Schizosaccharomyces pombe: one gene and its partner. The protein of the gene in region 2 binds, or shares a complex with, the protein of the main gene of each other region. Each region holds a gene or a part of one and is shown on either strand. Other genes may lie near its edges. The genes, in order: tim50 and tim21.

Region 1 (4,613 bases), 3.0 Mb from region 2:
TTCGGATTTATAGGTAGCAATTGAAGCGGACGCTTCATCTGATTTCAAAATAGCAGCAGGATCCCAAAATCCAATACCGCCATCTTCTAAACTACCAGCGATTACACCCATGGGCTTATCTAACGATTTCTCCCATGCTAAATCGTAAAATCTAGTCTTCACGTCGATAGATCCAACGGGTTTTTGTGATTCAGGATTTTCATTCCACAATTCAAGCAAGGTGTCGCTGTTTTTAGAACCCTCCGTCCCGGTATATCCTCCTAACGCTAACAGAGCTTGGTTATCATTCACCCCGCGGGGCGACCACGCCAACGTAGCCGTTTTGCTTATATCCTTCAGTCTCATAACTCACACCAACTTGTGAAATATTGTAAAAACTCCTTTTTATCCTGTTTCAACTATAGTATAACAGGCGAGCTAACCCGTTTTTTGTTTGGTATGATGTGTGGGCTCTTAAAGTGGTTGGTTCTTAGTAGTTTCTTTTAATACATATAGTCCACATGTGGTAGTAGTAGGCTAAAGGGTAGCATAGGTAACAAAGGATAATACACATAGTGCAGTACATAAAGCTTTCTTTGGAACTCAGTGGTAAATTCTCACTAAAAGTAAAAAAAAAATAGATGGACAATATTATTATTATTACGAAAATGAAGGAAACCCTTGATTGATGCTTATATACAAGAATTCATAGATACCCTGTTTTGGTGGAAATTTACATAGTCAGTCAAATTTTTAAATAGGATGACCCAAGAAGGTAAACACTTTAAGTGCGCAGTATAAAGGAACAAAAACTCGGAAGACCAGCGTATTCCCAGCATGGTCCGTACACAAAAAAAACCAGTAAGGAAAAAATTAAAAGAATACTTTTTTGTAGGTTGAATTGAATATAAGAAGTAAATTTTGAATAAGATTTCGAATTTGCACCAATACCCTTGGAAACGTAGGAGAAATGAATTAGAAAGAACGGAGCTTGGGTGGAGAAAAGGAATCCAAAGTACCAAAGCAAAATTGTCGTCCTGTAAAAGAAGTATTAAGACATGGGCATGAGACAAAACGAAGCCAAAATAAGCAGAATGATACGACTTGAAAGTTGTTACATTTTCTCATAAATTAGAGAACAAAATAAAGCGGAATACCGCATTGTGTCAGTCAGCAACAAGCACAAGGGACGTATTATTGTTTAATTTTTCCTTTTTCTTATTTCATTTGAATGTTCTTCAGGAAGGAAACGCTGACACGGGTTTCATCGAAAGCCTATTTGGAAGCATTTGTTTCGGGTGAAAATTGTTGTTGCTGCATTTGTTCTAACTGTTGTTGCTGAACCTCTTCTGGATGGAAGAGAAGATTAAAGATGCTTGTTTTTTGTTCAGCCTCTCGAGCCTTTTCTTCTTCAAGCATTTTAGGTCCATTTTCGTCAATATACTTTTTAAATTCAGCATAAGCAGCCTTTTGTCGCTCACGCTGTATATCAATGATTAATTTGGGTGGCTCTTCAGATACACTCCGTCCTCCAAACAAAAAGGAACTGCCTTTCTTCTTCTTCTCATTCCAATCTTCAATTAACTTGGTGCGTAGTTTTTCCTCTCTGCGGGCATACTCAAGGGGAATGTTTTTACCTTGATAACTTTTAAGAACTGGACGAACGTCTTTAATATCCATGATAGCAATAAACTCCAAAAGAGGAATTAATCCGACCAATTCCTTATCCTTAGGATTTCCTGTCCATGGAGCCATGGCAATTGCGTTATCAGGCTGTTTGGACCATGACTCGGGATTCGTATCGATCATGATCACTCGAGACAGGTCACGATTCAAGTAAGATAAATCTTTGATAACCTTACCCTTCTCATATTTGCTTGACTCGCGAGTAAGTACGGCACTAATACTTACGTGGTATGGATCAATCTTATCGATGATAGGCTTGGCAGTTGCTAAATACTGTCTAGTAAAGATGACTACTTCGTAGTACATGGAGAGATAGCCCAAGAAGTAATCTAAACCAGGACGCTTTGCAGTTCTCCAACCATGTTGACGAGTCCATTCGCTATGAATCAAAAGATCATCCAAACTTAAGACCAAGGTATAAGGTCGATTATAAGGTTCAGGAAGAGGATCAGGGAGCAACTTTTCAAATGCAGGCTCCTGATAGTAAGAGAAGAAGTTATTTGTACGGGCCTTTACCCTATTCCACCAATCTGAAGGGGAATAACCAGCAGCGGGATACTGCTTTTCTAGTTCTTTCTCATCAGGACCATAGCGACGACCGTAGTAAAGTAAACCACCTCCCGTTAATCCCAAGAAACCCCAAAATGCATAACGAGCCTGCTTTTCTCGCTTTAGCATCGTTGAACTAGTATACTCGGGTCCTTTTCCAGGGTCTCCAGTGTAGGACTCATCATTCAAACCATTTAAATCAAGTAATTTTAATGACTCTTTCGCAAGTGAAGAAGTGTCCCGTTTAACTTCTTCTTTTGCGTTTTCGGTGATTTTTGATGTGTCCTTTTCCTCTTGCGACTGGCTTTTCTCAGTCACAAACCGTTTGCCAACAAGGGGCAAAAAAGGACGAGGTCTAGCAAGCCTCAAATTACGAAAAAGAAGAGACCTGTTCAACATTTTGAATGTTGTTGTCTTTTTTATCTTTGTACGGCAATTTGTTGTTGTTTGCGTAGTGTCAGTCCATTAAGAAACCATGTATTTTCAGTGCACTGAGATATCAAACTGTAAGGTATCTCGTAAAACCTCCTTTATTTTTATGCATCTATTAGCAGGAGAATAATAAGACGGACAGTATGACTCGATAGGTTTGACAAATAAATCGAGAAAAGTATCATAAAAAAGGGAAAAGAAATGGAAAAAGGAACAGAGTTTTTGTCCTATGCTAAAAGAATGCTTGTGGATTATTATACTAACGAGGGTGGTAATGCACGGTAAGAAGGTTCATGTTTCCAGCCAAAATTTATTAGATTTATAAAATAATTTACCAGATAATTTTTAAAGAGTTAATTCCGGAATAATTTAATTTAGACAATGGGCGAAACAAGCCAGTTGTCTTTTCTCTTGCAAAAAACATCACTTACTATACGAATCCACTTTGCAAATATTTTGTAATATTGCATTCTGTATTTTCGAAGGATCACAGCAATAACTCGAGATCATATATTATTCTATCATTATAAATGAAAAAAAGAGAATTGGCGCAAAATTAAGAATTCAAGATGTTGTTTTGTTTACAAATTAACGCGCTATTGCGAGTCATCAAACAAATTTGTAAAAAATATATTGCGGCCAGAGAGGTTCGAACTCTCGCGTTTTACAACAGCAGGGATCAAGGCCGAGGCCTCTTAAATCTGCCCCCTTAGACCACTCGGGCATAGCCGCTAGAGATGGTAGATATTAAAATTTGAAATATATATCTATTTCAAACAGTTTGAAAAATTGACATCTTTTGTGAAGTTTACGCTTCATCAGGTAAATTCAAGGTAATTAAAGATTTTTATACAGCCTTGTGATTTTACTTCAGCTACACTTTAGCTTTCGAATCAGTGGCCTTCGGAAATATGAAAAGTCGTTAGCGTAACAAGTCGTAGCCTTCAAATCAAATTTCCTAGTTTGCTTTTGTTTAAAGGATGATTTTCTAATTTAATGTCAATGTCTGCACATTTATTGATTTTCGGTATAAATCTGACTGGATAGTTGACTCGAGATATCTAACTTAATACGTTCATAACATGCAAGTCCATCCTTGCAATATTGAACCAGAAGTATGATCCGTTAAAGATAAAGACCTATTATCATTAATATATTTATTGTGAACGTGAAATATACCATAAGTACATTCCTCCAATCCTAGCAAGTGTTCCTGTTACAAATGAAAAAGCCACAAATCAATGCAATTTAAGTTGATAGATTTTTAGACATAAATTTATAGAAAATATTATGTTATTTAAAATAAAAAGCAAAAGATACAAATTACTGCTGCCCAGGTTTATTTCTCATCGTCTAAGACATTACGCAAGTGCAACTCAGTCTCTCCCATCTCACCTTTGTCTCTTGTAAACTTAATCTTCCTTGTAAGAACTCATAATGGAAAATAAAGAACTCAGAAAATCATACTTCCAAAGGATATATCAAAGCTATATCCCTGCTTATGGTATGTGAATCAACTTCACAACGTGAACTAACTAAATTTAGCCTTTGGTGGTGCTTGTATGCGAAATTAATTAATTCAGTATTTAGCTAATTTCTATAAAACAGTAATTGCTTCTGTACCTAGAGCATTTAAACGACCCTATGGCGGTCCTTTCGTTCCTGGTTGTCTTTTGTGTGGTGGATTCAATGCTATAGGAGGGTATTTACAAATATACTTATTTCTTTTGTACTGTTCTATTTTACTAATTACTTTTTCAGTCTTGCAATTGCTAGTGGTGGTAAGTGATTTTGGTGACTAGTATTCCAATTCATTATATGTTGCCTTGGTAAAATACATAGGAATTTAAGGATAGACGTTTGATTTCAAATATTACTCCTCACGATCATTAAGCAGCTTTTATGAATGTGTTCAATTTCGTTTTAAAAAGTTTCAAGTCTTTGCAACTATTAGGATTGTTTTTCAT
Region 2 (3,928 bases):
GGCAATTACAACAAACTCATTCATCGCGACCCACTCCAAATGCCAGTTCTCCATTGGACGTTCGATCAAAACAAAAGCCTTCTTCTGCTAATTCAAATGCTCCAACTCCAGCACCGACCGTCAACACTACCAACCCCGAATCATCAACAAATGAAGCAACAAGTGTAGGTCCTGCTTTGGAACCATCGCAAGGAGCAAATGTTCACAAATCCGATTCTGAGTTGGATAATCAAAATCAGTCAGGAAAATCAAATCCTGATACTTCCGCGACTCCTTCTGCACCTACGGAGTCTACCACAGTTGCCACTAAATCTTCAGACAATCAATTATTGGATGTTGGAAATTCAACAGACATCGATGCGGCTCTTCTAAATGATTTTGACTTCGACAAATTTTTAAAAGATACTAGTACTGGTGACGATTTATGGTTTGGATTGTTTAATTTGCCGGATAATGAAGACTCGACTGCTGCTTAATTTTGTCGAAACTTAAGTATTTTATCCTTGTTTTTCTTCTTTTTTAATTTGTTTATTTGGAAATTATATACCAGATTTTTTCATCTTTTTTGAATGCGTTGCGTTTTGTCATTATAAAAATTTAATATATAATTAATTGCTAGTTGGATATGGATTAGTGTACTCGGTTATAAATACCGGCCTACATCTTGTACTTTATATCTAATAATCAAAATTATTTCATGTGCTTTGAATCATTCTTATATTTTTTATAACTAAACACATTTAGGTAGTACATTAGATTGGCGATTAATCAGCCCCTGCGAAAAGGCCCCTCGTACAAATTCGCTTCTTTATACTAACTAATTAAACAACAAATCATGAGGTTCGATCGCTTAATTAGTAATAAAGTGTCGACGATTTTTTTATTTTTTGCAATATACATCCAAATACTGCATAACTAAGTGTGCTAATTCTGATAAAAATCATTAACATCGCCTGTAAATTAATTCGTAAATTAGAAAATTAATTCTCTGCGAAAAACCATTAATCAAACCATTAAAATCGAGAAATAATTCAATGATTTCCTTTTCGGTTGAAATTAACAGCTATACCTTTCCGTCGTGCGTTTATCATTCGGAAATTCTAATTTCCCCATGTAATATTTTTTAAGCTTCCCCATAAACCAAAATTCTTATGTTGTTGTCGTACAGAATTGGTATGATCAAAAATTATGATTTTTCCGTAATTTGCAACATCAACGAAAAGATATTCCCATTTATAGTCACCTTGAACATTTACAAGTCTTCCAAATACGTGCCCTTTTCTCTCATTACCGATTAAGTGAAATTGTAGTACTAGATGTTCTACACCATGGTGATCCCACACACGACTAGTCAATATACCATGAGTTCGACGAAGAGGATGCGTGGCTTCACCTAGGGCTTTCATGTGATCTCCAAAAACATATCGACATTCTTCATTAGCCTTTAAAAGTTCAAAAGCTTCATCACCGTAATGTGCCTCGCCCTTCCAGATACTAGTGACAAGTGCATATATAATCAATCCGAAAACGCCGCCTCCAAATATCACAATCGAAAAATTTCCAATATTAGCAGAAGTTCTGTATGCTTTTTGAGGAGCCGTCAAATCCTTCCAAGCTTTGTTAGACGGATCTTTGAAAATTCGTGCCAGGCGCCCTTCTTCTTGTGGTTTCCGTTGTTTATTGAGAGAATCAGAAGCCAAAGAGTATAATCTCCTCTGAACCAAAGCTGAAGAAAACCTTGTAGCGCTCTGCCTTTGAATAGTACGAATCATCTAGTTGATACAAAAAGATGCAAAGAAGATGTATATAGTGACGAGGCTAAACGGCATAAAGGCAATGTCTAGTGAGCTCGACATAGGATGCAATGTAGTTCGTTAAATTTTTGAGCTTTAGCAGTGATATGGTTGTTACACCTCATTATTCCGTTAGTCAGGTAATTTAGTAAAAAGCATACTAAAATTTGAGAGTATTTAGCTTGAAAAGAAAGGAGTAATAATGCAACATCATGATTAAACAACGATATATTAAAAGTCAGGGTTATTTTAAAATGAACGAAAGCGAATTAGGTGGAAGATGATTTAGAAAATTTTCAGTCACTAATAAATTCAATAAACGCACGGTCAATTAATTTATTAAATTAATATATTAACAATCGAAGTAAAACCGTAATTGAAATCCTGAATGTTGATTTGCTGATTAAGAACAGCAATTAGTGCTTCGACGATTATTGTACAATATAAAATGAAAGTAAATAAATTTATCACATTGACTTTGTTACATTGTTTATATAAACCTTTAAAAATAGTTGAATATAGGAGAGGAAACTAGTAAAGTTTACAATTGCTAACCTGCTTCCCTTTAATCCACTCGAGTGATTCTCCTTGTAAACTACATTCTGGGGAAACATAGGTGCAGTCGCTTGGACTTAAGATACCACCATTCTTTAAAATCCAGCTTTTACCTAAACTCAAAATATCGTTTACACAAGTTTCATGGTTGTCATTGGGAGATTTACTTGAATTTTTTAGAGGACTAAATGAAGTCCTACGTGGTACCTGGAAACATCCAAAATTTTCAACTGACACACTGGGAAACAAATCGAAAATAAAACTCTCAAGTTTATATCCATTGGGATTTAAAGGTGTAGTATAATGATGAGACGTTACGTCGTAAAATGGAATTTTCTTGCATGCAAGGTGAATAGGAAGGGTACTTGAGTGCAAAGAAGCTTTCTGTAAGAAATCAAAAGAGAAATAATGGTATGCAATGTTAGCCGCACGAAGCAGCAAATGCTTGTGACCATCAACATTTTCTGTAGCTTTGCATGCTTCGTCAGAAATTTCAGAGTACTCTACAACACAAGGATGATTATGGGAAGATACAAGGAGACCCACTTTTTCAGCAGGATCGATTTTTTCAACAGTTTTAGTGGCAACCTCAAGTTTTTTAGTAGTAGCCATTCCTATGAATACAGGATCAACCGGCAAAACAAGAACATTGTCAACGCTATAAGCCGTAATATGGAGTATACCTCTTCTATTCATATCATTCAATGCACCAGAGGAAAGCAAAGCTTCATAAATACCTCCATTGCCGTTAGGAGCCCAAGCTAATGAAGAATCAGATTCAAAAAGGACCCTACCTGAGATATCTAGACAAGGTAAAACTCCTTGCTGGAAGAAAAAAACGTCTTTCTTATCAATACCAAAGAAATCATTCTCCTTAAAAAAAGAAATTGTCTCCTCTGACGTACATTCAGAAACCATTATATACCATGGAATGCTTATAGAGGCTTCTTGATCGGGAAATGCGGCTCTGGCGAGCGCCAACGATTTCTTAATTTTTTGTGCCTGCAGCTCAAAGATGCTCGGATTATTAGGCAGCCCAAGTCTAAAGCAACCTTTTGGACCAGCAAACCCAAGTCGAGTGCCTTGACCTCCTGCCAATACTAAGGCAGCTACATGACCTCTAGCAATTTCCCGAAGACCTGTTCTCCACCAACTTGAGTCAGACGTATCTACAATAGATAGTGGACCAACTTCTGAAGGGGACAATTTTCTGTTCTCTTGGCTTGTCGCTTTAGCATTTCGATACTTCAACCACAATGACCGTAAGTCCAATTGCTGAACTTGATTTAAAAGTTTCCTAAACTTTTGCAGGTCATTCTTTTTTAAATAATTCAATTGATCATACAAATGTAACTGATTAGTTTCTTCAAATATAGACCGATCAAACAATTCTTTGTCGTCCATTTCGTATTTAGCGTTATAAATACAGTCTAAAAAAAAAAAATGAATGTTTGGCAAACTTGAATCGCTAAAAAAATGCTATTTACGCTTCTTCAAGTGCTCTACTACTATTGTCAGTTAATTTGCAATGTCTTACTTTTATTCGCACTATCGTGTTTACCACACAATAGCGAATTTTT

What was found.
Region 1: tim21 (region 2) and tim50 share a complex: the UniProt entries of both Schizosaccharomyces pombe proteins name them as parts of the TIM23 complex.

What each region holds. Positions count from the first base shown.
Region 1 is NC_003423.3:1,399,164-1,403,776, forward strand, and holds tim50 (TIM23 translocase complex subunit Tim50), read right to left. Parts: upstream 2,666-4,613; 5' UTR 2,614-2,665; coding exon 1,255-2,613; 3' UTR 625-1,254; downstream 1-624. Other genes in the region: COPII-coated vesicle-associated protein Sec31, read right to left, coding at 1-345; protein aim19, read left to right, coding at 4,084-4,150, 4,192-4,206, 4,255-4,348, 4,408-4,427. UniProt on the Schizosaccharomyces pombe protein: Essential component of the TIM23 complex, a complex that mediates the translocation of transit peptide-containing proteins across the mitochondrial inner membrane.
Region 2 is NC_003423.3:4,397,164-4,401,091, reverse strand, and holds tim21 (TIM23 translocase complex subunit Tim21), read right to left. Parts: upstream 1,794-3,928; 5' UTR 1,773-1,793; coding exon 1,101-1,772; 3' UTR 691-1,100; downstream 1-690. Other genes in the region: adn2 (transcription factor), read left to right, coding at 1-476; uap1 (UDP-N-acetylglucosamine diphosphorylase Uap1/Qri1(predicted)), read right to left, coding at 2,325-3,752. UniProt on the Schizosaccharomyces pombe protein: Essential component of the TIM23 complex, a complex that mediates the translocation of transit peptide-containing proteins across the mitochondrial inner membrane. Required to keep the TOM and the TIM23 complexes in close contact.